Macaca fascicularis: one gene and its partner. The protein of the gene in region 1 purifies or fractionates together with the protein of each later gene. This does not show direct contact. Links are inferred from orthologs where the notes say so. Each region holds a gene or a part of one and is shown on either strand. Other genes may lie near its edges. The genes, in order: CPVL and CAPZB.

Region 1 (15,093 bases):
GGGCTACAGGAGCCACTGAGCAGTGCATCAGCAGGTTTTGTATGGCAGATTCTGTGATCAAGGCTAGAACATTCTCACTGGAGTCATCCAGACCAGAGCTGTCCGATACAAATATAATGTAAGCCACACATGTAATTTCAAATATTCTAGTAGTTACCTTAAACACATTTTTTTTAAAAACAGGTGAAAGTAATTTTTTAAACATATTATATTTAGCTATTTGGCTTAATACACTTTTTTTTTTTTTTTTTTTTTTTTTTTTTTGAGATGGAGTTTCACTCTTGTTGCCCAGGCTGGAATGCAATGGCACGATCTCGGCTCACTACAATCTCTGCCTCCCGGATTCAAGCGATTCTTGTGCCTCAGCCTCCTGAATAGCTGGGATTACAGGTACGCGCCATCATGCCCAGCTACTTTTTGTATTTTTAGTAGAGACTGGGTCTCACCATGATGGTCAGGCTGATTTCAAACTCCTGACCTCAGGTGATCCACCTGCCTCGGCCTCCCAAAGTTCTGGGATTACAGGTGTGAGCCACTGTGCCAGGCCTAGATCCAAAATATTATCACCTAAACATATATTCAATATTTCAAAGGTTATGAATCAGATATTTTTTATTTTTTGGCTTTGTACTAAGGGTTTGAACCCTAGTGTGAATTTTACACTTGTAGCACATCTCAATTCAGACTAGCCGTGTTTCAAGGGCTCAGTAACCACATGTGGCTGTCACACTGGACAGTGCAGGTCTAGGTCTTGAGAATCAGGCCCTTAGAGGTCAATGACAGCCCCCACCCTCTGACAGATGCTGCAGAAGATCTACTGCGACAGCCACGCTCCCTGCTTCCCATTTCTTTGCTGTCCCAACACAGTCTCTTGGGCTTATTCCATGGAAGCAACAACATGTAAGAAAAAGCATTTTACATTGCTAATATGGCATTACGTGAAGTAATAAGTAAGTACTAGGTTTCACTTCCTTGAAAAGGACAATATCCAGCCAGTACTGAGGATGCAGAAGGCAATAATGGGGCCTGATAAAATCCAGGAACTGGGCCTCCGATGAGAAAAGAATTGTATAAGGTTATCACCCAAGTGCTTCTGTGATTCATATTGCCCTATAAGTTGTCAATAAATAACAAATCACCATGTCATAGTCTTTTGGTTATTATCGTTTCTGAATCCAATGGCCTCAACATTCACCTCTTTCTTGACAGTTACTTGACACTTTAAAGATACCTTCCACCTTCCCATTTTGTTGCACTTGAGGATGGTAACAGAAGTTCAAGGAGAACTGTTTCCTTTTCTTAGAAACTGTCATGTTCCTGCATCTTATTTGCATGCATTTCACCCCAATTAAATGTGCTGAAAATTCCAAAAGCTAACTTTATTTTCTAAAAACCAGTGCAATTGCTTTGCCCCGATGTGGGCTTTTTGTAGAAGTAAAAATCCTTCTAGCTAGCTGCTGATGGCCAGCTTGGTAGAAAAGCTCTTTTAAATTACATGGCTTGTATATGCCACTAGCAACCTCAGTCCACACATTCAGTTTTCCTTACGATGTCTTTAAAGGAGATACAACGGTAAGATCCAAACGTTTTTTGGACATGGGCACTTTTTCCTCTTTGAGGGTGAAATCAGAACTCACTGTGGATTTATTTGAAAAAGAAATTGAGTTGCCATTAGGGAAACAAGAAATCACTTTTTAAATAAAGCTTGAATCATACCTCAGGACTAGAGAGTTTATAAACATTTTTAATTACCCTCCCCAATATCATCCTCTAGCTGTCATTTCACAGTTTCCCTCAAGGTCATAAAGAAATTACTTTTTTAAAAAGTCAATTTGCAAAATTAGTGAAAGATAACCTAAACAGCACAAGAAGCACACACAGCAATGGGAGAGCACTGGATCAGATTTTCTCTTTTTAGCTTGTTGATTTTACATTAGTTTTGTCTCTGTCTTAGAGAATTTCCTGTAAAAAAATGATAAAAATGTTTTGTATCTGTGTAGTCCCATATGGCAGCCACTGGCCATGTGTGCTATTGAGCACTAGAAGGGTGCCTAGGGTTATTTAGGAACTGAATATTTTTACATTTAAATTTAAATAGCCACATGTGACTAGTAGTTACCATACTGGACAACACAGCTATACACAGTTAGGGCAGACCTAGGCCACTTAAATCTTTGTGCCTTTATGGGCACAACAGCCTGGAGATCTGAGGTCCATTTAAAACATAAAGCACTTTATGACTTCTTTTTTGAAAGTATTAAGTAATTAAATAGAGCAGCCTCTATGAGGCCAGAAAGAAAAAAAAAAAGTCTACAAGAAATTCTCTAAGGATGATGCTACTCTTTAGGATGAGCCAGGAAGTGGGTGCGGGGAGCATTAATGTCACAGGAGCTTGGGTCCTAGATGACAGTTCCAGCTCTAGCTCTGCTGTCAAGTAACTGAGTGGCATGAGATCGTTTCTGAGTTCCTGGGGCTCTGATTTTCTTATACAATGTGGAATCTGTTAAACAACTACCAAGGTTCCTCCTTGTTCTCAATCTAGTCAGTCCAGCTCTTATTTCCTAGGACATTAAAATATTGGTTGATTGAAAATAATACTTTACACTGCACTACAAATAGGCTGAGGTTGAGTGATTTTGACAGGCCAAATTGTTGAAGCAAGGGAATGCTACAATTAGTTCATACTATACAGACTAGATTCAGATTAGTCTCACAAAGGTGTATGATTAATTATAAATGAGGAGAAAGGCAGGTTATTTGCACAAGCAGCTAGTGGCTGGCTCTCCCAGAAAGCACAGCTGAAAGGTCTGTGGCCAGTGGATGATATACTCATCCCAATTCTTCAGCTTCAGGTCCCAGAGAGCCACCTAGGTCCCATTGCAGAGCACACTACCTATAGGGCCGGCCCATCTCTAACTGCCATTTCCTCTAGCCATGGAGACTTTAAATAAACCTCTGCATTTATTTGTAGCTTGGAGACACATCGTTGTGTTCTGTCACACCAACTAGCCTGCACCAGAGACACAGGTATCCATCTTGACCCCCTAACCTGAATCCATGTGAGAGACAGAATACCAGCTTCCTTCCCCATGGGCCAAAGGGAAGGAAAAGCAGGAAGGTGCCTAGAGGATTTGCAAACTATGAACAGTAAAGAAAATCAAATGTGGGATTGATGAAAACATCTCTAAATAGAAATCTGACCAACAACAGATGAGAGAAGAAAAAGAGACAAAATAAGGAAGGAAGGAAGGAAGGAAGGAAGGAAGGAAGGAAGGAAGGAAGGAAGGAAGGAAGGAAGGAAGGAAGGAAGGAAGGAAGGAAGGAAAGGGGAGGAGGGAGGGGGAGGGAGGGAGGGAGGAAGGAGGGGAAGGAAGGGAGGAAGGAGGGGAAGGAAGGAAGGAAGGAAGGAAGGAAGGAAGGAAGGAAGGGGAAGAAGGTGGGTAGAGGGAGCGGGGAGGGAAGGTAGGGAGGGAAGAAAAGAGGGAGAGGGGAGGGGAAGAATGGAGAAAGAAAGGAAAGAAAGTAGAGAGGGAGGGAGGGGGAAAAAGCCATTTTGTTTTGAAAATTAAATGACATATTTCAGAAGCCATGAAATGAGAATACATACATTCATAAAAGATAAATGATCGGTGGGTGATAGGGGATGCTATTAATCATATGTCTGTCTATCACTAGGTTCATGTCTTTTTGTCTGCATTTGCCTTGACCGGAATCTTGATCTTCTGGCAGAAAACTCTTCCAAAGCATTTCTATGTGACACCGCTCATGTATAGGTGTTCCAAACCAAATGTCCACTTATTTTCACCATTGTGCAAAAATGGGAGACCCTGCCCAGCAGCAGATGGCCCTCAGCAGGGCTGACACTCAGGCCAGGCCCCAAGTGGCAGCTCTCAGAACATACTGTCCAGCTAAACCCTGCACAGACTGGCCATGGAAAATACCTGGTGTTCACATTCCCCCAAAAGTTAGGCAAATGACAGGGTCACCCAGTGCACTTCATGGCATTAGTGGGGAGAACCAGCGTTTCAGCACAAGTTCACAAATCGTTGGGTCCCCCTTGTCAAACACTGCAAATATGTAGCATGCTAAGAAAAATCTCCTTACCTCTCAGACTCTATCACTCGGTTCATCTGAGTTGCTACAGTGGAGAATAAAATCTAGTAAGTTAAAATGAGGTGTGGAATGCTCAGGAGAAAAACAACAAGGACTAGTACTCCTCATCTGAGTGAATAATTTCTCTCACAGAGTTAATTTTAGCTTTGCAAGTGTTTTATTTGAGATCATATTTTAAATCGGAATTTGTGCATGTGTGATTTAAAATAAAAAAGGCAATCAAGTCTTTCTGCCAATCTAGGCGATGTGAAATTTAATTATTGAGCAGTTATCATTAAAACAATGCAAAGCAATTTTTTACACATAATTGAATATTCCAGAAGAAAATTTCTGAAAAATCCAAAAGTCCAAAAGAAAACTTCTCAGTGAGAATGTCTGTTTCAATAAAATACCCTGTTTTGTAGTATTGGATGCAGAGAATTTCTAGTTAGACATACATAAGTCTTGCCAGAATTACTATAGTTCAGTTTTGCCGTCTGCATCTAGGAATACGGAAGACTTACCTATGTTACTGGTTATGAATCCCCAATAATGAGTAATGAAAATTCCTATTTATTGTTTCTACATCAACAACAGTGTGACAGCAGAAAACAGCATGATTTACCTGGCCCACATTACTGTTGTATAGAATCTAAAGAAATGAATACCTCAATCCATTCAGGAATGTTCTTTTCCCAATTAAGGTTTTGAGGACTGCACCTAATACTGACTTTTTACCTTTTTCTGTTTGCATTTTAATTTTAAAAGTCTGTGTCAATTTTATTTTGATAATACAGTGTGTTTATGTTTCCAGATCTTAACTTCTTATCCTTGGGGTTCCTTTAATATTTAATGTTTTACCTTTTTCAGTTACTGAGAACATCTCATATCTTCTTTATTTATTGACTTGCTTGGGTTGATTTTTTTCTTGACTCTGAAATTATCCATTTGGCAATCATATTGCTAATATGCAAAAAGTTCTTATTTCAATTATAAAAGCAAACATAACCCATGATTATTAAGAAGACTGTTTTGCAAATTGGCTGTTGTTTATTTCAGAATATAATAAAGTACCACAGGCTAAATTAGAAGCTTAAGGATAAGAACTTTTCTTTTTTGCAATTTAAAATAATAAAGGTAATCAAAGCTTCCTGCCAATCCAGGTGATTGTGAAATTTAATTACCAGTGGTTATCATTAAAACAAAGGTAAAGCAATTTCTTTTACACATAATTGAATATTCCAGAAGAAAATTCGTGAAGAGTTCTCAGAAAATGTATTTTAAAATTAATTGTAATCTGATTATTTCATTTGTTATGTCTCAGTTGGTACCGTAAAATAAATGACACATTTGGGTGACGTAGCTCAACAGCAGCTAGTGAGAGCAAATTCTCAGGAAAATCAGGTAACTTTGACCTAATGCTGAGCAAATTATTAGATCTTAACTCTGCAAACACAAACATACTTAAATCTCCCGCTGCTATTCCTCTATGAGAGGTATAACCCATGTTGACTTCACCTCTGTCTATGCTGGACACTACAGAATCAACTGTTCCTTTTTCAGTGCTCAATTGCCCAAATGTCCTACGGCTTCCAGAGCTGTTCCATCAAACCCACTGCTACCTGAACAGAAAGAAAACCTCCTACATCAGCAGCAGCAATGAGTGAGCTGGCAGCTCTGTGCACGATGCTGCTTATGGGCCTGTAAGCATAACTTTCCTAAGTGCAAAAGGATCAACGGCCCCAAGAAAGAAAGTCAAAATAAGGCCATGAACTTACCCATCTCCAGGCCTTTGCCTAAGTTCTTCTCTCTTCCTGAAACGTCTTTTTCTCCATCTGTCTTCTGGAAAAATTCGACTCAGCTTTCAAGGCCCAACTCGTATGACATTCCCACTGACCCCTCTAATTTGACTAAGTCAATCCCTCTCCTCTGCACCCTCCTCCACAGAATTTGTTTTATCAAACTGGAGTAGAGGTTGCTATTTGCATGTTTGTCTCGGCTGCTGGATCATAAGGGAAAAGGATCTTGACTCATCCTTCCATGCCAAACACTCGGGACTATGCCTGAAACCTGAAAGACACTCGCATGTTTATTTAATGAAGCCCAAAATTCAAGATCAAATTTAACATATGATGAAAGAAGTGGATTGTATGTGTGTTGGATTCATGTCTGCACCTAAATTCTGAGCCCATGAATGCCTTCTTTTTCATTCCTCGAAGAAGTAAAATTTATTCACATTAAGCATTTATTAAATGCTGGGCCCTGTGCTAAATACTCTACATACATTATGTCATTCAATCCCCAAGACACTCTATGAAGTAGGTCTTATCATCAGTATCAGCCTCATTTACAAATGAGGAAATTGAGGCTTGGAGAAGTTAAGTAACGCACTTCAAGATACCTGGCTGGTTGGTGATGAAGCCAGAATTAAAAGACAATACTCCCAGAACTTCAGAGCCAGAAGGAAGCCTATAATTATCTTTCCCCCTTAGCCTTCTTGAAGCTGAGGTTTGTAACTTACTGCCTGGCACATAGTAGGCCCTTGAAAATAGTGATTAATAGACTGATGGAGTGCCCTAATTTCTCAGGTTCTGGCCTTCGCCTGAGAGAGCCCAGCTGCCACCACAAATAGGCTCTATTCTTTCTGCCCAACACCTCTCACAGGTGTGAATTGCTTGTGTCATCTGAATTATTCATGATCCACACAATGGTAAGTGTGCTTAAAAAGAGAACTACAATGCTGTATTTTTCAAGACAAAGTGCCTGATTAATTGGGGAATTAGGCAGTATAAACTCATGGGCTAGGTTGATTCATGCCAAACAATACATCCATGCCCACTTTTTGAATTTCAGTTTTTACATAATTTCCCAGTTTCCCTTAGGATTAAAAATACGGGTAAATAAAGCAGGAAAAAGAACCATCATGGGCATCTCTATCCTATCTGAAAGCAATTAACATCATCTAAATCTCATACTGTGTTGTTTCAAACCAATGTATTCTTCCGAAGGCTGTTAGGATTTTCAATCAGGCTTCTTAAGCTACATCAAGATCTGGAAATTCAGATGCCACAGCAGCTGTAATTCATGCCACCAGTAAATCATGTGACACCACCACCTCCTTGTCCTTTCTCCTTTCGTCTTTTCTTTTGCCCCACCAGTTCATTTTCTAGTGGGCAGTTTTCTGAGAGGAATAACCATATGCTAATAGAAAGCCAACACCACTGTATTTTCAATTCAATGTTAGTCAACCAAAATGAATTGAAAAACAGCAGCAGTGGTTTGAGGGTACTAAAAATAAACTGTAGCATTTGCTGAGTTCTCAGAATTAAAACCACGGCGGTCAACTTGTTGCTGCTCTTAATAAGATATGACTTCTGCCTCATTGGCTGCTACTACTAGAAACTTGAACTATGTCACACACCTAACAACGACATGTTTTCGATTAGTTGGCAGTGATCGAGAAAGGAAGTGCCATTTCCCAGGAACTAAACCTGCCAAGAAAGATAACAGATGGCTTTCAAGTGATCACCTTGTACCACATCACAATTGCACCTTAGTCAAATTCACCTTGCATTTATGATTTAGTGAGTTACACATCGAAAGCTGTGGTTGCCTTTATGCCCTGCTTGCTCTCCAATGCCTCCAAAAAGGTGTTTATTCCTTTGAGTTTAATTTGTGAATAATAATAAAAACAGCCCAATGGGACTTAATACAATATTAATATATTGAACACTTCCATTAGGACTTCATGACCTTCTTGACCCTTAAATACCGTATACTACACTAAATGTCTTATCAGCTGTCCTTTTGGGTTTGTCATTAAAGTTTTCAATGACCAGAGAGGTAGAGGAATTCTATCTAATGCATCATTCTGATTAGAAACCTGTCATACTCAGAAACCAGTGGGTCTGCTTCTATTGATTCCTACTCCTTCAGATTCATTAGCAATTTTTTTCTCTTCAATTAGACCCGAGGATCAACCATAGAAAAGCTGAAAGAAGCCTTCCCTTTGCTCAACCTTACTTAAAAGGAATAAAAAAATGTATGCCTTGCTGGTGAAATTACAGACAGTATTATTAGAAAATGTCTAAGGAGTCTCTCTCTCTCTCTCTCTCTCTCTCTCTCTGTCTCTCTCTCTCTCTCTCACACACACACACACACACACACACACACACACACACACAACTTGTAAATATGCCAAGAGTCAGAGGCTGGGCTCGACCTCCCTTCCCCTAACCCACTTCAATCAGGATCAGAAAGACACATCCCTTCATCGCTGCTGTCTCAAACCCATGCCCAAGCGAGTGTCTCCACAGAGCTAATTTCTGAAACAAACAAAGAAAATCAAGTCTGCGAGGAACGAGGGTTTGCTCCCCTCTGCTCCGGATTTGGGTGTCCAGGGTAGCGGACGAGGCACGGCAAACAGGTCCGGGCGCTCAGCTTGACCCCAACCTTCTCCGCCCCGCCAGCCCCCGCTCCAGCTGCGCCAGAAAGTGCGAGCCTGCCCGCTCCTTTCGCTTTTCGCCCGCTGCACCCCAAGCCCGAGAACACCCGCGTCCGCACACTAAGGGCACCACCGCTCTCCCACCTCTGCGCTGTCAGATGTCAGGCGCGGAGGTGCTCTGGGCACCGAGGTGCTAGCGAACCAAACAAGTGTCACCCCAGACGCCTGCCCCCACTCCAAGAGAGCGGGCGGGACGGCCACAGGTAGGCTCTGTCCATCCCAGGGTGCGGAGCGAGGGCAGGGGGCGAGACCCGGCGCGGCAGCCGCGCCCGACGGGCTGAAACTCACCGGAGGACACCGAAGAGCCGGACAGGCTGGAGTTGCTGGACGCTGCCATCTCCGCGCGCCCCTCGCGTCGCTGCTCGCTCAGCCCCGGTGCGGGCGCCGCAGCCGCTGCCCTCGCCCGGCCGCTCGCAGCCTCCGCGGCCCCCAGCCCATGGCAAAGTCCTGGGGACGCGCAGAAAGCACCAGCCTCCGGACTCTGCCTGCACTTCCTGCTCCACCAGATGACGCGCTGCCGCCGCCGCTATTTATTTGTGGTTTCCGTCCCGCTCCGCGCGTTTGCACGCTTTTCTCCGGGTGTCAGGGGGTAGGTGGGAGCAGAGGGAGGCCGAGGGGCGGCCGGGACGGGCGGATCTCGGCTCCCGCCGAGCCCCTCTGCCGGCCGCGCTACCCTGTGCGCGACTAGGACCAGGGCGTCCCGGCGGCCCCGAGCCGCCCCGCCAGCTCCCGCACCCTCTCCTGGGCTCCCGCCTCTCCGGCCGCACTTCGAGTAGCCCGGGCAGAGGCGGCGGTAGACGGACAGACAGAGCGACCTCCCCCTCTCCCTCCGCCCCAACTCCGCTCGCGCACACACAAAGGAAGGAGAGGAGACGCGGGCGCACGGGGGCTGGTTCGGCTACCGCGGGCTTGACAGCTCCCGCCAGTGGGGCTGGAGGGGGAGGCTGTGAACTGCTGGACACGGGGAGGCGAGACCGGGGACCGGGTCCCCGGGGTGCTGGGGAGGCCGGCGCGGGGCGCGGGGCGAGCGCGGCTGCGGCGCGCAGCGCTGCTCGTAGGGTTTGAAGGGGATGGGGAGGGAGGGTGTGGGGGAAGGTGGTGGGGCTCGCCGCGCCCCGCTGGGCTCTGGAGCAGCGAGACAGTGGGGGTGGGGGATCCAGAGGGCGAAGGCGGGATCACTAGGGCCACGGTGCTAGGCAGAAGGGAACCTGGGATGACAGAGCCACTGTGGAGCGCTCCTTCCACTCCCCTCCAAATTATCCTTTGTTGCTCTGGAACTGACGGCCCCTGCCCTGCAAGAAGGTGCGTTTCCTAAAACACCCGGGAAGCCAACCCAGCTACACTTAAGTAACCCAGCCACGGACAGCGCCCGACGCGTCCATGGGCCTCTGAGGTTGGCCTTCAAAGAAATAGAGCCGTCCAAACGTGTCATCAGGCCCACACAAAGCCGGGTGTCAAAGAGAAAAAGGTTCTCCTACTGTGCCTTGCAAAAAAGATTCTCACAAAAGACTTGACTTAGCAGCAAGTCCGACTGTGCCCTTTCAGGATAGGAAATGCTCAGGTGTGTGACAGAAAGAGACTCGAGGACAAGGTGTGCCCCTTCCCCCTGTATTTAAACCTAAATTAATTTCACTGGGAGGAAATATCATGCAGATTTTTTTTAAATCTGTTTCACGCTCCCAGCGGGCTAATCTGTTCTTTCAATCCTAAAGCAACAGAAAACTGTGAAATTTGAAGAGAAATTGTTAGATCAAAGGGAAAAGCAAGCATTAAAGGAATGAAAATACTCTCATTATATAGCAAAAATGGAAAGTGTTCACATTGGGGTAGTTCAACTTTTTAAAACATGGTTAAAAGAACATAGTCAATTTAAAAATTATCAGGAGTGACACAGAACAGCAGCTAGGCCCTGGGGATTCACATCAACCAAGCACCTAACATACAGTGAATAATGAATGTTAAATAATCACAGTACGCACCCACGTCACATTTTCTAGTTGATTAGAACTTAAAAAAAAAAAGTCCCTCCAGGATGCTATCCCAGTGTGTCTTCCCATTAAGGTCCATTTTTTAAAAATACAGCTTGCTAAACTGTTAAAGGCGTGTCAGCACTCTTCAGTCATGTCGGACTGTGTCTTCCTGACCCTCAACTGTATGGACCTTGAAACAGCCCTGGCTGGTCTAAGGAGACCCAAGCACCCCCGCTTTCCCAGCCCCCTACCACTATCCTTCTTTATTTTGTGGACTGCATGAAATCATGCATTTCCTAATCTGGAGGCTTCAGGGACACGTGACCCATCACACACTTGGCTTGTGGATTAGATCAGAAGGAACTTACTGTTTCCCCAGAGTTCTTCTAGTAGAAAACAGCACTTACTTGTTTGACTAGTAATTTATGTATCCCTCCAGGTCTTTAGATGGTGGACTATCTGACTTGGCTATGTTGCCTGGTCGAATTTTTACCATCTGGGCTTCGAAGACAACTGGGTTCAAACTCTGGCTCTGTTACTTAGCTGCAACCTTGAGCAAATTACTTAGACCTACTGAGCCTCAGTTTCTTCACCTTCCTCAAAAATCTGATAACACAGGATGCTGTGAAGATTAAATAAGACGCTATGTGGAAAGCTGCAGTGTACCTGGCATGACGTTTGTGTTCCAAAGTGATTGTAAGTTGCTCACTTTAAGGAAGGAATGTATAGTTTGAACAATTTTTGCTTTCTTCATTGCATCTGGAGATAACTAATCAACTGTGACCTGTTCTACTAGGGGGAAATGTCTTATCTTCAACCTATAGCTTATATTTCTTGTCCCAAATTGTGCAATAGGGTAGCAGGTTTCATTATTCATCTCGAAATTTCACAAAAGGACAACAGATTCTGTTTCTGCAGTTTGGATACTCATATTTGCCTTCATAGAGTTTTAACTGGAGAAAGTAAAGCATGACTCTGTGAGGCAGATTATTTTTATTGTCCTAAATTGACAGACGAAGGGACAGGGGAGTATTTGCTGTGAAGGCACCACCTGAAGGCCACCCTGTGCTGTACAGAAGTAGAAAAAAGCTGAGACTCATGTTTTCCTGGATCCTGGGGCCAGAGGAGGGATACAAGGCCAACAAACATGCTTGCTGAACAGAGATGTGCTGATCGGGGAGGTCCAGTCTGTCGGTAGGAGATGAGCTATTACTTTGACATCCATTATTTTGAACACCAAACAGAAAGCTCCAGGTTCAGAACTAAAATCTGAAAGTTGATTGATCATCTGGATTGATAAAGCCATAACCAATGGAGAAAACTCAATATGAATAATAATTCACTATCATCCTTCTTAGATTCGGGAGCCTAAAGGCTGGCTGCTCCTTGCAAAAATGTCTAGTATCAGTAAGTTATCAGGACATGCTGGAAATAAAATGCTAATGTCCCTCTTTGGTAGGCTCAGGCACCTGTTTGTGGACCTTCTAAAGTATTTCTCCAAATGAAACAATGAAAAAGTTATCATCTATTTTATTCATTTATGTATTGCCTTAATTCTAGGTAATACCTATTTGTCAGTGGAAAGGAGAAATCTTAGGTGTTTGGAAAGTAGAATTTTTAAAGACATTTCCACCTTTTGTCTCCAAATATTAAAAGACTTATGGGATAAAAGGAGTCTTGTGGATAATGTGGCCTTCTTAAGAATAGAAATTATCGTTTTGTTTTAACTTAGCTTTCATCTGGCATTCAAAGCCTTCCAAACTTACCATTCCAATCTAATCTCTGTTCCCCCCTTTCACAAATGCAACCCTCTTTCACAGTGGCCTATGCCCTTGGGGCTAGCAGCACTGGATTCTGCCATTCCTTCCTGCTTCCCATCCTTTTAGTATGCTTCCCATACTAAAAGAGTTCAACTAGAATGCACCTTCTCTGGAAAGTCTTCCCTGATTCCCAAGGCAGAAAATAGCTCTTCTTCTGTTAGATTTCTCTAGCCCATCTACTGTACCTCTCAATGTGCAGATCTCGTGCTCTCATTTTAATGGTACTTTTGGTATATATTTCATTTCCTTAGTCCATTAATAGTGGACTTGGCATGGTGGCTCATGCCTATAATCCCAGTGACTCAGTAAGTTGAGGTGGGAGGATCCCTTCCCTTGAGGCCAGGAGTTTGAGACCATCCTGAGCAACATGAGACCTCATCTCTAAAAACATAAAAAATAAATTAGCCAGGCGTTGTAGTAAACCTGTAGTCCTAGCTACTTGGGAGGCTGAGCGGGGAGAATTACTTGAGTCCAGGAGTGCAAGGATGCAGTGAGCTATGATGACGCCACTGCACCCCAGCCTGGGAGACAGAGTGAGGCCCTGTCTCAAAAAAAAAAAAAAAAAAAAAAAAAAAAGCATGGTGGGAGCAGGATCCTTGTTTGCCCAGCCCCTGTATTGTCTACCATACTTTGCATACAATAGGTGCTCAGTGGATGTTGTTCAATAGTTTACTCTTGAATAAATGAGCAAATTAAGGACATCTGTAAATGGTTCTCTTGTATGCCAGTACTTTCCACATTAGTAGCTGTGACTACTGAGCTACAAGACATTGAGTAACACATTGGCAGCAAAAAAAGAACTTGATGGTCATTTAAGGATACTACCTTTGCTGTGAACAAAAAAGACTGAAACGGTGAAACATAAGAATAAAATTTTGATGGAGTAAATATTTGCAATCCCCACCCCACCCTCCATCACCGGCTGTTACAACTCACATGATTTATTGTTTGCAGGGTAGCTCTTACTGTGGTGTAATTTGTTTATTTTGTTTCACCATTCTTTTGAAGTTTAAAAGCAGACAAGAAAGCACTGCAGGGTGAGTGTGGCTGTGCTCCCTCACTGCAGGCACTCTGGGGTGTTGCTTAGTGAAGGTCATTCCCTTTCCCTGTGCTAAACACGGAATGAAATACCGTATTCCTTACTTTCAAGATTAATCTAGTGGTCGGCATTCACAGGAGAATAGCGGGGCTATTCGTCAACTAGCTTTAAATATTTTATGGCAAATACTCAACCATACCCTGAAAGTGGTCCTTTTGCCATCAATTTCTCAACATCAATATGCTCTTTTGCTGTAGTGAGAAATATTTCGCTCTGTAGTTTAAGCCTTATTTCAAATACAAAGACACCTAGTCCTGAGAAAGAGAACGCATTGGCTCTTCTGAGGCAGGCGTCACTAGGGGCAGGAGCTGAGAAACCCGCTGTTTCCTTAGGAGGTGCACAGACGGCCCAGGATGGCTTAGTGAGCAGGCAGCTCAGACGCCGCAGGTAGCGGCCCTGCCTCTGAACAAAGAGGAGTCCACACCTGGAGTGCAGACAAAGGGAGGCCGCCTCTGCTACCCAATTCCCAGTTCACATCGCCTGCTGCTGGGGACCCCTAGTGGCGGCACACGACGCAGGCACAGGTATTCCTGCATCGTCTTTCTCACGGAGCTGCAGCGGGGCTCAGGGGTATTGCCTGGAGTATCCTATTTGGCCACTTAGCTTGGGCGGATCAGATCGGCACATGCAGACACTTAAGGCATGCCATCAGCTACAGTCTCTTTGACTGGAAAGACAGAGAGGGAGAAGGGGAGTGTGGGGGGGAAGGGCAGAGAGAGAGAGAGAGAGAAGAAAGAGAGAGTTTTTCTTTCTGTTTGAAGAGAAAAACAGGATAGCATTCAGAAACTAATTGAATATGTTTTCTTCTGCATGTTGCACTCTCTGGCTTTGTTCCCTGACATTTTAGATTACAAACATCTTTTCTGTCCTCAATGTCCTAAGAGAAATCTAGGATAAACTGAAGCGAAGCCAGCTGTAAGCCTGCTCTGGGCAAAAGCACGGAGTGAGTTTGTTTTTCTTGTCTTCTGGGGGGGTGGGGGGTTCCTAGGCCTTATACTCTTTTTCTATGAAAATTTGCTTTCATAACGGTATATATTTATTCTCGGCTACCTGTCCGTTTATTCAAGCATTCATTAATTCACTCAGTCATGTTGACTAAGCACTCATTATGTGCCAGGGAGTATAGGAGGCTGGGGAATAAAGATATGAGGGAAACTGGCTGGGCGCGGTGGCTCATGCCTGTAATCCCAGCACTTTGGGAGGCTGAGGTGGGCAGATCATTTGAGGTCAGGAGTTCAAGACCAGCCTGGCCAACATGATGAAACCCCATCTCTACTAAAAATATAAAAATTAGCCAGGCATGATGGTGTGCGCCTGTAATCTCAGCTACTGGGGAGGCTGAGAATCGCTTGAACCTGGGAGGCGGAGGTTGCAATGAGCTGAGATTGCGCCACTGCACTCCAGCCTGGTGACAGAGCAAGACTCTATCTCAAAAAAAAAAAAAAAAAAAGACATGAGGGAAAACTATACCCTTGCTGTGAGGGATCCTACAAAACAACCTCGACTCCTTCCTGTGACATTTACATTTCAGCTGGGACAAAGTTTTAAAATAGCTATAGAAATTATTTCTGTTTGGGAATTATAGGTATTGTCCATGCTGGTGACGAC
Region 2 (14,994 bases), on another chromosome or scaffold:
AGGCCCTAGCAGAAGGCCAGGCTTGGCCAAGAGCTCAGGCCCAGAGATCTGGACGTGTCTAGTTCACAGTGGAACTGCCCGGCCCCAGGGTTTAGTCTATATTAGGTTGAACCACATGAAAGGCTGATAATTCAACCTTTTTTCACCTAGGAAAACGGCAACTTCATACGGTTCAACCTAATGGAGGGAGGGACACTTACACTTATTAAGGACCTACTAGACATTCAGTCATTCATCTAACACCTGTAGAGCACTGGCTGTGTCCGGGCCGGTGTGTAACACTGTTTCAGCACCCCCAAGACTGACAGCCAGGATTTTTCATCTTCCCTCCTAAGGATAAGAAACAAACTTACCAGGCAGAACAAGGGTAACCAACTCAACCTGCCTGAGCTCAGGTAACTACTAAAACAGGTCAATTTTGGCCAGGCATGGTGGCTTCATGCCCATAATCTCAGCATTGTGGAAGGTCAAGGAGGGAGGATCCCTTGAACCCACAAGTTCGAGACCAGCCTGGGCTACAAAGACTCTGTCTCTAAAAAATAAGTAGATAGCTAGCTAGCTAGATAGATAGATAGACAGACAGACAGGCACTGTGGCACATGCCTGTGATCCCAGCTACATGAGAGGCTGAAGGGGGAGCACTGCTTGAGCCGAGGAGGTCGAGGCTACAGTGAGACAAGATGGAACCACTGCACTTCAGCCTGGGCGACAGAGTGAGACCTTGTCTCAATCAATCAAACAGGCCAATTTTGTCTTTCCCCTCAGAATCCCTGCATCTTACACTGTACATGGTGTCCAGGGCTGGGATGGGGCTTTACGGGAAAAAGCCAAAGGATCCCTGCAAGGCTTTGTCACCCAACAGTCCCCATGGAGGGCTGTCACAATGATTAAGATGTGCTGCTGCCACTCACGTCACAGGCAGGAGGAGCCAGGGACACTGACACTACTGCACAAAGAACTGTCCTGCCCAGGAGGCCAAGCCGCACAGTGGTCGACGCTAGGCTAAGACTATCTCACCCTTTCAGCTGAGTGGCTATCTTTTGGAAAACAGACTGCGGTTCACGAAGTTCCATCTCCTTGCATTTCAATAAGTGGAACCGAAAAAACCTCCTAAACAAAACCCAGACTTCTTCAGCCACTGGGGCTAGACGTCGTACAGGGGAACCTCTCGGCCCCGGATTCCTCATCTATAAAATAAGTATCCCCATAGGCCGGTGCCAGAGAGGCAGAAGAGCGGAATTCCATCAGCACGTGTTCCCGAGTGGGGTGGACCTGGACCTCCGTGGCAACTCCCATTAACTAGCTGGGGGGCCTTCAGCAAGTTACTACACCTCTCTGGGCTCCGGTTTCCTTATCTGCAAAATGAGGAAACAGATCTCACAGGGTTGGTGTTGAGAGAATACAGATAATGACTGTGGGCATCCGGTAGATACTGGCAGAAGGGAGGGGCCACTCTGTGAGTGAACACTCAATACCAGCCTACAGACTGAAGGCATCCTTCATTTCATGGCATCCCCTAATGCCTGCGCCATGAGTGCGCTCCCCAAGACCAAGAATGGACTCCGCTTAACCACACCCTAGCCCATCCTCTCTGCCTGAACAAGGTCTCGAATCTCAGGACAACCAGGAATCCACGGCACCCCGTGCCCAGAAGAGATTTCAGGATAGGAGGTGTCTGGAGGGTATACACTGAGAACACGACAACAGCTCACGTCGGAAATTCTCAGCAGAGGAACTGAACAGCCAAGCCTGGCCGCTGCTCTTTTGGAGTCTGAGTTCTTCAGGGTCTTAGACTTTTCACACCAGAAGGATGTGGTGGATTAAGGCTCCTCCTTCCAGTTTCTGAGTGCAAAACTGCAACGCAGGGAGCCCACTCGTGTGAAACCAACGACAGCCCACCAGGACCAAAGCCTCATGACGGAGAAGCCTTCAGTAGCAACACTCTACCTGCCAATCACTGCTGCAACTGAGAAGGGAAAAGGGCACGGGTACCACCGGAAAATGCCACTGGCTGAATTATAATTGGAAGCTACAGCATATAGGGTGCAATGCAAAAGCATCATTTCATAACTTTTCTTTGAAAGAAAGACGGGGGTCTTACTATGTTGCCCAGGCTGGCCTCAAACTCCCAAGCGATCGCCCGAGCGATCCTCCCCCCTCAGCCTCCTGAGTAGCTGGGACCATTGACACACACCACAGCACCTGGCTTACCTTTCTATTTTACCAGGTATATCTATCGTATATACCTGGTAAATACGATGCCTGAATCCACTTATAGAGGGCTCTGAAACAGCACGCCCAAACACTGCTAAATAAGATACCGAGTCTAACTCAGGAGTATCCTGCTGCGTTCAGCACTAGAAGAGGAAGCTGCACAGAGCAGTTGAAGCAGAGGGTGGAAAAGTGCAGGGTCTGAGCCGGTGGTAACAACTGCTCACAACCTGCAATGTGGTGAGAGCTCTTGAGACCAGAAACACTGGGCTGCTGTTTTCAGCAGTTTGGTGTTTAAACAGACTGAACCCCCTAAGACTGCTCTCCTGGGGCAAGGGACTCTACATCTTGGAGTCTCAGAAGAAGGAACCAGCACCTGCCTTCCAGGCTGGCTGGGAAGTTCAATGAAACACCACCTATCATCCATCCATGTTAACAGAATAACCACGATAACAGGAGATAACACTCGTACTGCACCCACAATGTGCCAAGCATTGCCTACACTTTCCACACAGGAACTCGCTCAGTCCTCACAATCATCGCTCCACGCCAGGTGAATGGCAATCACCAGGGTTGCTGCCTTACATGACACAGGACTACATGACTGGAAACCTAACACTAGAAAGTTGTAGGCAAAGCCTCCTGTTCACAGGCGTTCAGAGATGTCAGAAACATGTGGGGTGACCGCAGGAGGAAGCACGGGAAAACGCAGGCAAGCGGCCTCCCTGCCTGTCTGATGCTGTGGGCCTCCCCACGCTGGTTCTGCACTCACTCCTGAGTCTTTCAGAACTTTGGACATACTTGCTTCCACCCGCTTCCTCCATTTAACCTTAAGACTCGGATGTCATATTCTATCAGGTCTACCTAACTGCTCAGCAGGCATCCACGGAATGAATGACCTGATGGAAAAAATCCCTGCAGGCAGCAGAGCCCAGTGCCAGGACTGCCAGGTGGGCCTTGGTTTCCTCACCTGCATAATGAGGATGACATGAGAATATGCCTCATAGGGCTGGCTGGAATATTAAAAAGTCATCAGTCAAAACTAGCTCCTGGCCAGGTACAGTGGTTCATGCCTGTAATCCCCAGCACTTTGGGAGGCCGAGGCAGGCAGATCATGAGGCCAGGCGTTCGAGACCAGCCTGGCCAACACAGTGAAACCCCATCTCTACTAAAAATACAAAAAGTAGCCGGGCACAGTGGCGCGCACCTATAGTTCCAGCTACTTGGGAGGCTGAGGCAGGAGAATTCCTTGAGTCTGGGAGATGGAGGTTGCAGTGAACCGAGATCATGCCACTGTACTCCAGCCTGGGCAACAGAGTGAGACTCTGTCTCAAACAAACAAACAAACAAACAAAAACTAGCTCCTGTTATTCCTACAGCTGCCACACACAGCCCACCACCCCCCCATCTCCCTCAGCAGACTGATGTCTTAGGCACCAGAACCTAACGCTGTGTGCATCAGGCTGAACTTGGTGCCACCTGCAGTCACGGAGTCGCTGGCTGGATGGATCACTGGGCTAACCAGACCGAAATCCCCATTCAGTTGTTAATAGGATCTCAAGGCTTTGCAGACACCACTATCTAGGATTTAAACTGACCTGAAATAGCTGTGTATCAATGATAAACTGTCCAATCAGAACGCCTACATGAGACAGCTCTGGGGCAGACCCCCTCAGCCCCAGAGGTGGTAAATCATTCCGTCTCCCTCTGCCTTTATCTCCTTCCACCATCCCTTCCTTTCCACGCCCACAGCGGCACAGTGGCCACGACCCTCATAAGCTCACAGGCTGATGCTTGTGAAGGCCTCTCTCCCGTCTCTCTCACCCCCCAGGCCTGCTGCACGCACAGCCAGAGGACTCTTCCTAAAATACCACTGCCCTGCCAGCCTCCTCGAATTTCTACCTGCCCTGTCAAAAATTTCACTGGCTCCACACTGTCCCAGATCAAATGCAAACTCCTTAGCTTAGCAACTCAGGCACTCTACAACTCACTCCTGAGACTGAGGCACCCCATGGGCTCACATCTACTCCTTGTCTGACCACACCCCCGACCTCAGTTTTTGTGCCAGTCCCCTTGACCATACCCCACCCCATTCTCTCTGCCTGAGCACGCTCTTCCCAGGCTTCCTTACCCAGCCCCCAAGCCGACCGTGGGCTGGAGTGGTCTGCAGGGCTGCATGGAGGAGGGGGAAATGCAAGCCAGGCCTGCAGGGATGGGCAGACCACAGCACCCATGGGTCCCTGATTAAGTCTTTTCTAGTACTACTTCCTTCCTGCTGCACTTGGCTTTTTGGACACATCCTGCCTCCCCATCCTGGATTAGAGGACAGGGACGATGGCTTCTATTTGTGTCCCTTACTCTGTGGTATGCAGAATAAGACAAGCAACAACCATAGCTACTGTGTGCCAAGCACTGGAGTAAGTACATTACAAATTTCACCCCTACCCCCCATCCCTATAAAACGTTATCTTCATGCTACGGACCAGGAAAACAGACACCGAGGGAATTAGCAGCCTCACTGGCAGTCACATGCTGAGTGGCAGACAGGACTCAACTCCAGATGTGCCCAACTGCAGACACCATGTTCTGTGGAGCAGGGAGCCGCCTCTCAGCTCTCACTCAGCGTTTACGTAGCTGGTGTTCACTAAGTGCCAGGTGGCCAGCGCAAGGTGTGGGGTACTCAGAGGGAAGCAAACAGACAAGGTCCCTGCTCTCACAGAGCTCATACGCTCTGTCCCCAGCCCTGTCTCTCTTCTTCCAAGCCTGGAATAGGGCAAGCACCCTCCAGTCACAGGGGGTTCCACTGGCACAGACAAGGCATTCGGGCCTGACGTGTAGCATGGGGCTCTGGCAACACATGGTGCCCCGCTCACAGCCAGCTTGTCTTCAGTGGAGAAAACAGCCCCAGGCTCTATTAGGGAAGTTGTCCATTCAAGGCACAGCCCAGAGCCAGGCAAACTCCAAAGCAGCCACCAGCAGGCAGTCCGGAGTGGAGAAAAATGGTTTGCTCTGGGGTCAGAAAACCCAATTCCTCCACGTAGTAGCTAGACAGGGACTCACCATAAACCCCTTTGCACACTTTTGGAAAATGGCGATAATAACGATAGTTAATGTTTATAACAACATCATGTGCCAGATGCTACTGGATGCACTTGACAGATACTACTTAACCCTCATTACAACCTTATGCAGAGGTACCGTTATCCTAAGGCAGTCTGGCTCCTCACTCTATTTTCTTGCACTATGCTGCCTCCAGCCTAAAGTTGAACCTACATTGTCAGGCTGTGGTGAGGACAGTTCTAACAGAGTGCATAGCACATGGCTGATGCTCCATAACCATTAAGCCTCCCCTTCCTTCCACTGAGACGTGAATCTCTGAAAGCCTAGGTCTGGAAATGGCATGGCTCTAGCTGGTCCCATTGTGGGTGATCTTGCAGTTGCACCCCCTGGAATTCCACACTGCACCCTCACTGGTGGATCTGCTACAAGGGGAAATGGGACAAGATCCTGTATTTATGGGACCCTCTGCTCACTGCTTCTGGAAAACACAGTGAGTGGGGTCCAACACAGTGAGTCAGGCTGACGTGGATCCGAATCCCAGGCCTGCTGCTCACACCGGTCACTCAAGCTCTCACTCTTGTGAGTAAAATGGGGGCTGGGCTATAACCTAAGTCATGTTTCTGGGTCAGGTCCCTCAGCGACCCAGGTTGGACGTGCTGGACAAAGCGACCCAGACTGGAGAGGCTGGACTTCCACGGTACTGTAAGGTTTCATTTTGGGACCCCAGAAAGCCTTGGCTGTGCAAAGGAGCGAGCGGACTGCGTGCATGTGCAATGCAATTCCAGCCAATGGCAGACACAAGAGCAGGCACACCCCAAAAGGCCTTGGAGTGGAGCCTGGCACCAGCCCCAACTTTCTCTTCAGTTTCCTGCCATAGCTCAAGCAGATGTGCCTGCTGTTACACGAACAAGGCTCTTTCCCCCTTAAACTTTAGGTAACAGTGACATGCTCACCCCTCAACAATGTGAGCCGTGAAGGCAGAGATCCTTGTCTGTCTTGCATCCTCCACACATAAACAGCACAGAGCAGGCACTTGATACACAAAAAGCTGAATTAACATGACCCTGTAGCTTCAGGTACCCCACAACGTGCCTCAGTATTTGCCTAACAATAAGCCTTTCCCAGCCTTGAGGGCAGGCTTCTAATGGGTGAGGCACCTGCCCTGCCACCATTTCCCTGTGGTCAGTCATATGTCCTGTTCCTCGACTCATGGAATGGAATGTAAAAGTATAGGACGTCTGAGTTATAAATAGGAGTATCTGCTTTCAAAGGCATGGCTTATCATTTCCTTAATCTCAAGCCATTGATCGCTGGCTACTTTTTATAAGCATGCCACCAAAAAGAGGCCAGGTGGGCTCAAATGAACAGGGCTGTATAGACAGACAAGAGGGATGTGAGTTGAACAATGTATCTTATCCACACCAAGAGACATTAATGTCAACTATGTTGTTTCACCTTGTAACAATACCAAGTTCCCATCAGCTCCTGCCAGGCAAAACCATCTGTGAGCTGGAGCAGCGATTCCTGAAGGGGCCTCCCTAGTCCACCTTCCTGCTAAAAGCCTCACCATCATCATAACTAAGAATAATTCCCAAGTCAGAAGCTGGAGCTGCGAAAGGAACGGTGCTCTGAAATTGTACAGCACTCAAGCAGTGGTAAGATTATTACCTGCTAAGGGAATGCAAATAAATTCCATCTGCCTATGCATTTTAACTGAGAAGGAGAAACTCATGCCAACAAAAATCATGGCATTCACTCCAAAGTCAAATGCTTTTTAGATTCTCAAGCCACTATTTCCCTCAATGGGTAACAGAGATCTAGCTGTATTCTTTACCATCGAATCTACTGAAAATGAAAAACACGGTGATCTGATTTCATTTCCCTTCAATGCAACCTCACACCACCACTTCTGTCCTACCCCAACCATCTACACTGGCTTAATGGTCAGAGTATTCAAATAGGGGATAAACCTAACAATAAGCAGTCAGAAATTACAAGCCTAAGGGATACGAAGAACAAGTGACTGAGAGAATGAATATGAAATCCAAGCAGGTAAGTTCATGGACACAGACACATCCCAAAGAGAACATTCCAAGTGGTTTCTTCCAATGCCAGGTGCTGTTCTAGGCCCCACGGATACAGCTGTGGAATACACAAGACAAAAATCTCTGCCCTCCAAGAGCTCATTCTGGCCCATGCTAAATATGCCTGTACCACCATACAGCTCTTTCGCTATAACATGATTTTCTATACAAAGGATTTAAAATACAAACCATGGGCAATAAATACTGCTCCTCCCCCCTTGCCATGTTTGAATATCCCATTCTATGTTTTTCAAACGGTGTCATTAAACCTCCTGACATATAAGCAGCTTGGTACAATGGGAATAACAGTTTAGAGGCTGCCAGATGGGCTTCTACTGACCAACGGTGGTTCCTCCACTGGCTGGGCAATACCTTGAATAAGTCACTGCACCTCCTGAGCCTCAGCTGCCTCATCTATCAAATGCGGACAGCCCCAGAAGGGCTTCGTGTGGATGAAACCAGCTTGTACAGGTGAAGCACACCACAGTGACTGGCAGACAGACAGTTCCTCCACCCTTTCCAGTCTTTTCAGATGACAGCTGAGTGCAAGACTCCTGAGAAGCTTCAGGTGTCATGTGCTCCTCCTGGGGGACTGGGGCACTTTCCCATCACCTGGGGAGCATCACCGCTTCCTGCCGCATACTTTGTCTTCAGTGCACACTCAGTAACGAAACTTCAGCCCACTTTCAAAGTCCTCACCCAACACTGCCCTGGAGAAGTCGTGCTCCACCCAGACCTGGGGTCAAAACAAGGCCTCCCCAAACAAGGAGTTTTCAGCCAACGTCACTGGAGAAATCCGAAGGCCTTAAAAGTGGCATTGCCCCTGTTTTTAATCAGCATACAGGAAGGTATCAAAAGAAAGCTTAACTCATCTCAACTCCTCACCCTCGTTCAGCAGCAACATCCCTTGACTAAACAAGGAACCAGGGTCCTCAAAACACTTTGAGGCCCAAAGCCCACATACAAATATGCTCCAAAAATCCCTTGACCCTGTCAGGAAGTTCTCTGGCCCTTCCAACCTAAGTGCTGGGCCTGTCCTGCGGAATGATCAAGAGGTAGGAGTGCAGGTCTATCTGTGGGGGCCTATGTGAAGCCCCAGGTTCCTCAAAAGTCTGGATAGCATCTGCTTTCTTTACCAAATCAAACACTACGAGTGGAGCCAGCACTCTCCCTCGGAGTTCTGCTCACCTGATCCAAGGGACTTCCATAATCAGCAGTTCCCACCCTTACAAGCTGACAGTTCAGAGGGAAGGGGAGGCTGCGCCTGCTCGGGTGCATGGTGTCCAGGCCATATGCTGGATCCTGGGCCTGCTGGCCCCCCAAGGCCATGGCCTCACAAGGGCGATTGTGCGTTCATCCTTGTCCTGTGGGCCACCCACCCTCAGCCCTCAGCTCCCACTCAGGCCTGGGCGCCGCGGACCCCGGCCCGCCCTGCAGGACGCTTCGCAAGCACAGCACCCACGGCGGCGACCTCGAGAAGGGCCCGCAGCGCAGCGCGCTGCCTTCTGGGCACACCGATGCCCGCCTTTCCCTCGCTGGCTCCCAAGCGGCCTCCCTAGAAGGGGCAACTGAGAAGGCACAGCACCGGGACCACCCCATCCCTGCTGGAGAGTTCCCCTCGCTTCCCGAAGGCTGCAAAGAAGGCGCGCCCCAGGTAGAGGGAAGGGTACCCTGGGTCGTGCACGGGGCAGGGGGCAGAACCCTGATGAGAGGGTCAGGGCGGAGACCGAGCGGGGCTGACGCAGGTTACGCTAGGAGTGGCGAGAAGTCCAGGGAAGGGGATCACGGTGGGGAGGGGGCAGTGAGGTCCAGGCGGGGCCATGGGCGGAGGAGAGGAGGTCCAGATTTAAGATCACAGAGGGATGAGGAGATTCAGGCTGAGGCCACGGAGAAGAGGGGAAGCAAACCTAGACCGCTGCAGGAAGGGCTGACCGGGGTCCAGCCTGAGGCCATGGAGAAGGCAAGGGAGGGAGGGAGGCAGCGGCCTAGCCTGGGCCATGGCAGGGAGAAACGACGGCCTAGCCTGGGCGGGAGAGACGGGGGAAAGCAGACCTAGCCCTAGACCGGGGGAGGAAGGGGGCCCACGCCAGGGTCACCGCGGGGGGGGGGGTGCCTGGCTGGGGCCACGGTTCGGGAGGGAGGGTCTAGCCTGGGCTATGGGAGAGACCAGCCTGGACACAGAGGTGGTGAGTGGGACTCCAGCTTGTGCCAAGGGCGAGGGCTGGGAGCGGGGGCAGGGTCACTGCCACCCAAGTCGTCCGCGCCGGCGGCACCCTCCTGGGCGGGGAGGGACCGGGTCCACCCAGGGTCCGGGACCCCGCCCCTCCCCCACCCCGGGAAGCCACCAGTCCCGGGCCACGGATGGGCCGGGGGAGGGGGACGCGAGTTCCGGAGGGGCCCCCGGGCCGGGGAGGGGGCCGTGCGGCCTTTACCATGGTGGCGGCGGCGGCGGCGGTCCCGGTCCCGGCGTCAGTGGCTCTCCCCCCCGCAGCAGGGCCCGGCGCTTCCACTTCCCCGGGTGCCCAGGAGTGAACATCCGGGTCAGCGCCCCCCTCCCCCCGCGCCGGGCCGCCGCCACCTTCCTTCCCCGCCCCGGCCCGGCCCGGGCCCGCCCCCCACGCCGCCAGCTCGCGGCCAATGAGCGCGCGGGACTGCGGCGATCGCCAAGTATGGAGAGCGGCGCGGGAGGCGGGCGCCGACGGGGTGCGGGGGCGGGGTCTGCGCGGCGGGGCGGGGAGCGGCGCGGCTCGCCTGCCGGGGGTTCCGGGCCCGGGGTACGGGGCTCGGGCCGGAGGGGTGTCCGCGCTGTTGGAGGTCCAGTACCCGACTCTGGGCCTGCAGCAGCGGGTGTCGGCGAGGGAACCGCGCCCCACAGTCCCCGCGGGCGGGGATGCGGAAGGCACCGGGGCTGTGAGGCGACCTGCCGTCTGCGCCCCACCCCGTGCACGCGCTCACTCCTGCGGCGCACCCGGAACTGCCGCCGAGCGGAGCGCGGCCCGGCCCGGCCGGGCCCAGCCCAGCCCAGCCCATCCCAGTACGGGGCGAGCGCGCCGGGAGCTGGGCCGGAGCCCAGCGCTGCCGCTCGCTACGGCGGGACCTGGAGCGCCGCGCTGCACCTGAGCCCGGGCAGGAATTCAGGAGCCTCGGGCTGACACCATTTATTCAGCACCTACTATGTACCAGGCCTTGTTTAGGCACCGGAAGATAACAGATGAATAATAAGACATAAAGATCCCTGCACGTATAGCTGCAGACAGAATAGCTGTGAGGATGACACAGGTAGAGATTAGAAAATTAAGTTCAACAGGCCCGGCGCGGTGACTCACGCCTGCTATGGAGGCGAGGCACTTTGGGAGGCCGAGGTGGGCCAAGGCCAAGAGATGGAGACCATCCTGGCCAACGTGGTAAAACCCCGTTTCTACTACAAATACAAAAATTAGCTGGGCCTGGTGGTGCCGACCTGTAGCCCCAGCTACCCGGGAGGCTGAGGCAGGAGAATCGCTTGAACCCGGGGGACAGAGGTTGCAGTGAGTCGAAATCGCGCCACGGCACCCCAGCCTGGCGACAGAGCAAGACTCTGTATCAAAAAAACAGCACTTTGGGAGGCCGAGACCGGCGGATCACGAGGTCAGGAGATCGAGACCATCCTGGCTAACACGGTGAAACCCCGTCTCTACTAAAAAATACAAAAAACTAGCCGGGCGAAGTGGCGGGCGCCTGTAGTCCCAGCTACTCGGGAGGCTGAGGCAGGAGAATGGCTAAACCCGGGAGGCAGAGCTTGCAGTGAGCTGAGATCCGGCCACTGCACTCTAGCCTGGGTGACAGAGCGAGACTCGGTCTCAAAAAAAAAAAAAAAAAAAACAGAAAAGAAAAAGAAAATTAAGTTCAACAAATGCTAACTGTTATGAGTACTGTTGGATGTGCTGCAGAGAACCATTCCATTTGCCCAGACGGGCTTCCTCTCTCCACAAGATGACTCAAGTTTCTCTCTCCCAATCTCTCTCTCTCTCTCTCTCTCCTCTCTCTCTCTCTCTCAATCAAATATTTGTTGAGCTTAGTCTAGGTGGCAGGAAACCTGGATTGCTAATAATATCTGCCCTCCGTGGCCTGTTTGCTTTGGTTAAATCAAATTAGGCGATCTGTGAGGGGATGGTAAACAGTACGGATGACAGGAATGTTTCCCTGAGCCAGGCCCTGTCCTCAGGGAGCTCATAGACAAGTAAAACCTTTCACAGGTAGCCACTGGCAGAAAAAGCATACGGGTAAGTCTCGCAAGAACGGTATTGGATGAGTATTACAGGAATTCACAGAAGAGAATGGCACAAGTAGTAAGTATTTATTGAGCATCTGCTATGTGCCAAGCACTGTGCTAGGCTCTGGAAATACAGCAATGAGCAAAACAACCCGAGCTTGAGTGTTGTCAGGGAGACAGTCGGCCACCAGGCAAATACAGTGTCCGAGGCCAGGCACAGTGGCTCACGCCTATAATCCCAGTACTTTGGGAGGCCAATGTGGGCGGATCACGAGGTCGGGAGATCGAGACCATCCTGGCTAACAGGGTGAAACCCTGTCTCTACTAAAAATACAAAAATTTAGATGGGGGTGGTGGTGGGCGCCTGTAGTCCCAGCTACTGGGGAGGCTGAGGCAGGAGAATGGCTTGAACCGGGGAGGTGGAGCTTGCAGTGAGCCGAGATCGCGCCACTGCACTCCAGCCTGGGAGACAGAGTGAGACTCTGTCTCAAAAATAAAATAATAATAGTAACACAGTGTCGGGTAGTGATTAGAGATAATGAGAAAAATTCAAGCAAGCAAATAGGTAAGCAGGCAAGGCCTAACTTAGCAGTATTTGATCATATAGCTGAAGGGAAGGAGGGAGCAAGCCATGTGGACAGCAGAGGCACGAGGAGCAGCAAGGGTAAAAACCCTGAAGGTGGGACTGTGCTGGATCAGCACTGGTGTGTTTTCAAGGGACAGACAGGAGGCCAGTGTGGCTAGCCTAAGTCCAGCAGGAGCTGAAGGGCAGAGCCATGGCAAGATCTGACCTAGGCTTTAAAAGGATCATGAGGCTGCTGTGTCCTGAATGGACTGTAGGGGGACTAGGGCCTTAGAAAGACATTTCTATATTGAGGATATTTATTTATATAAAAAGCACTGATATGGCGCATCCTATGTGATGAACACTGTTAAGCACCTTACAGATAATAAGTCATTTAATCATGACAGAAGCCTGAAAAGGTAAGGACCTTGCCCCAAGGTCACACAGCAGAGAGATGAAGCTGGCTTGGACCAGGGTAGTAGCATTGGAGATGGCAAGAAGTAGATAGTATTCTAGATATTTCCTGATGTATTGGTGGTAGGCATGAGAAGAAAGGAATCAAGGATGATGTTAAGATTTTTTTTCTTCTTATAAAAAGACTTTGTCTTTTTGTTTGTTTGTTTTGAGACAGTGTCTCAGTTCTGTTGCCCAGACTGGAGTGCAGTGGTGCAATCATAGCTCACTGCAGCCTCAAGACCCCCAGGCTCAGGTGATCCTCCCACCTCAGCCCCCTGAGTAGCTGGGACTACAGGCATGCATCACCCTGCCCGGCTGATTTTTTTGTAGAGACTGAGTTGCACTGTTACCCAGGCTAGTCTCGAACTCCAGGGCTTAAGCAGTTCTCCCACCTCAGCCTCCTAAAGTGCTGGGATTACAGGCATGAGCAACTGCACCCAGCCAAGACTTTGTTTTTTAGAGCAGTTTTAGGTTCACAACAAAATTGAGAGGAAGATATAGAGATAATCCACATATCCCTGCCCTACATATGCAGAGCCCCCCCGAATTGTCCCCATTCCCCACTAGAGTGGTACATCTGTTGCAATTAATTAACTGCATTCATACATCATGATCACCCAATAGTTTACATTAGGGTTCACTCTGTTATACACTCTATGAGTTTGGACAAGCGGATAATTACATCTAGCCACCATTAGAACCATCATATGGAATATTTTCACTGCCCTAAAAATCCCCTGTGTTCCACCTCTTCATCCCCCTGCCCCCTAGCTCCTGGCAACCACTGATCTTTTTACTCCATAGTTTTGCCTGATGCTAAGATTTTTGGCTTAACACTGCATGGATTTGCCATTTATTGATCTCGGGAAGACCGTAGGAGGAGCAGGGTTTTTCTGAGGGGAGGGTTGTGGATAAGAGGGAGCAAGTTATGTTTGAGATGCCTATTGGAGTTTTGTGTGTGTGTGTTTTTTTTTTTTTGGGGATGGAGTCTCACTCTGTCGCCCAGGCTGGAGTGCAGTGGTACAGTCTTGGCTCACTGCAGCCTCCATCTCCTGGATTCAAGCAATTCTCCCACCTCAGCCTCCCAAGTAGCTGGGACTACAGGCGTGCGCCACCACACCCAGCCGATTTTTGAACTTTTAACAGAGACAGGGTTTTACCATGTTGGCCAGGCTGGTCTCGAACTCCTGACCCCGCCTTGGCCTCCCAAAGTTCTGGGATTAGAGACATGAGCCACTGCGCCCAGCCTCCTACTGGAGATTTAAATGGAGATGTCAGGTGGGCGTGGTGGCTCACACCTATAATTCTAGCACTTTGGGGAGGCGGGTAGATCGCTTGAGGTCGGGAGTTTGAAACCAGCCTGGTCAACATGGTGAAACCCTGTCTCTACTAAAAATACCAAAATTAGCTGGGCTTGGTGGCACATGCCTGTAATCCCAGCTACTGAGGAGGCTGAGGCAGGAGAATTGCTTGAACCCAGAGGTGGAGGATGCAGTGAGCAGAGATTGCGCCACTGCACTCCAGGCTGGGTGACAGAATGATACTCCATCTCAAAAAATAAAAATAAAAATAAATAAATGGAGATGTCAAGTAAGTAATTAGATATGGAAGTCTGGATTTGGGGGAAGAAGTCAGAGCTGTGATAAACTTACGAGAACTGCTGGCTAGTAAATGGCATTTAAAGATATTTGAAAGCATAGACATCTTGATGAACTCACTTCATGGGTGAATGTAGAGAGAAGAGGTCATGAAGATAAAGAGGAACCAGCAGGAAGACTGAGAAGGAATGACCCGTGTGGCAGGAACAGGACCAAGAAAAGGTGGTGTCCCTCTTGGATGCCAAGGGATGGAGGCCAAGCATGAAGGAAAGTTCATTCATTGGACAGATCACTCCACAGATTGGCTGCCCATTGCTCAGATCCTGCCCCTAGATCCGTCAGCTATTGCTATGAGCATGGAGGCACGTGGCGTTAAACATGGTCATCTACAAGGGGTTGTGAATTGGTAGACAGGCACTGTAAATTTTTTTTATTTTAAATTTTTTGGGCCAGGGATGGTAACCAGGCATTTTTGGCCAGGCATTCCTGTAATCCCAGCACTTTGGAAGCCTAAGTGAGAGTATTGCTTAAACCTAGGAGTTCAAGACCAGTGCAGGTGACAAAGTGAGACCCCTGTCTCTATAAAAAAAATCAAATAGGCATGGTGGCACGTGCCCCTGGTCCCAGCTACACAGGAGGCTGAGGCAGGAAGATTCCTTCAGCCCAGGAGATTGAGGCTGCAGTGAGCCGTGATTGCACCCTGCATTCCAACCTGGACAACAGAGGGAGACCCTCGTATCCAAATAATAATAATAACTTTATAATTTA

What was found.
Region 2: the proteins of CPVL (region 1) and CAPZB purify together in Homo sapiens (affinity purification with mass spectrometry; 3 studies listed by BioGRID and IntAct, with this or other methods). This does not show direct contact. The link is inferred for Macaca fascicularis from reciprocal best matches to the Homo sapiens genes CPVL and CAPZB.

Annotation. Positions count from the first base shown.
Region 1 is NC_088377.1:101,070,748-101,085,840, forward strand, and holds the start of CPVL (probable serine carboxypeptidase CPVL), read left to right. Parts: upstream 1-8,326; 5' UTR 8,327-8,518; intron 8,519-8,608; exon of another isoform or gene 8,609-8,799; intron 8,800-8,884; exon of another isoform or gene 8,885-9,100; intron 9,101-13,822; exon of another isoform or gene 13,823-14,009; intron 14,010-14,332; exon of another isoform or gene 14,333-14,428; intron 14,429-15,093. UniProt on the Homo sapiens protein: May be involved in the digestion of phagocytosed particles in the lysosome, participation in an inflammatory protease cascade, and trimming of peptides for antigen presentation.
Region 2 is NC_088375.1:215,595,346-215,610,339, reverse strand, and holds the start of CAPZB (F-actin-capping protein subunit beta), read right to left. Parts: upstream 9,890-14,994; 5' UTR 9,791-9,889; coding exon of another isoform or gene 9,788-9,790; intron 1-9,787. UniProt on the Homo sapiens protein: F-actin-capping proteins bind in a Ca(2+)-independent manner to the fast growing ends of actin filaments (barbed end) thereby blocking the exchange of subunits at these ends.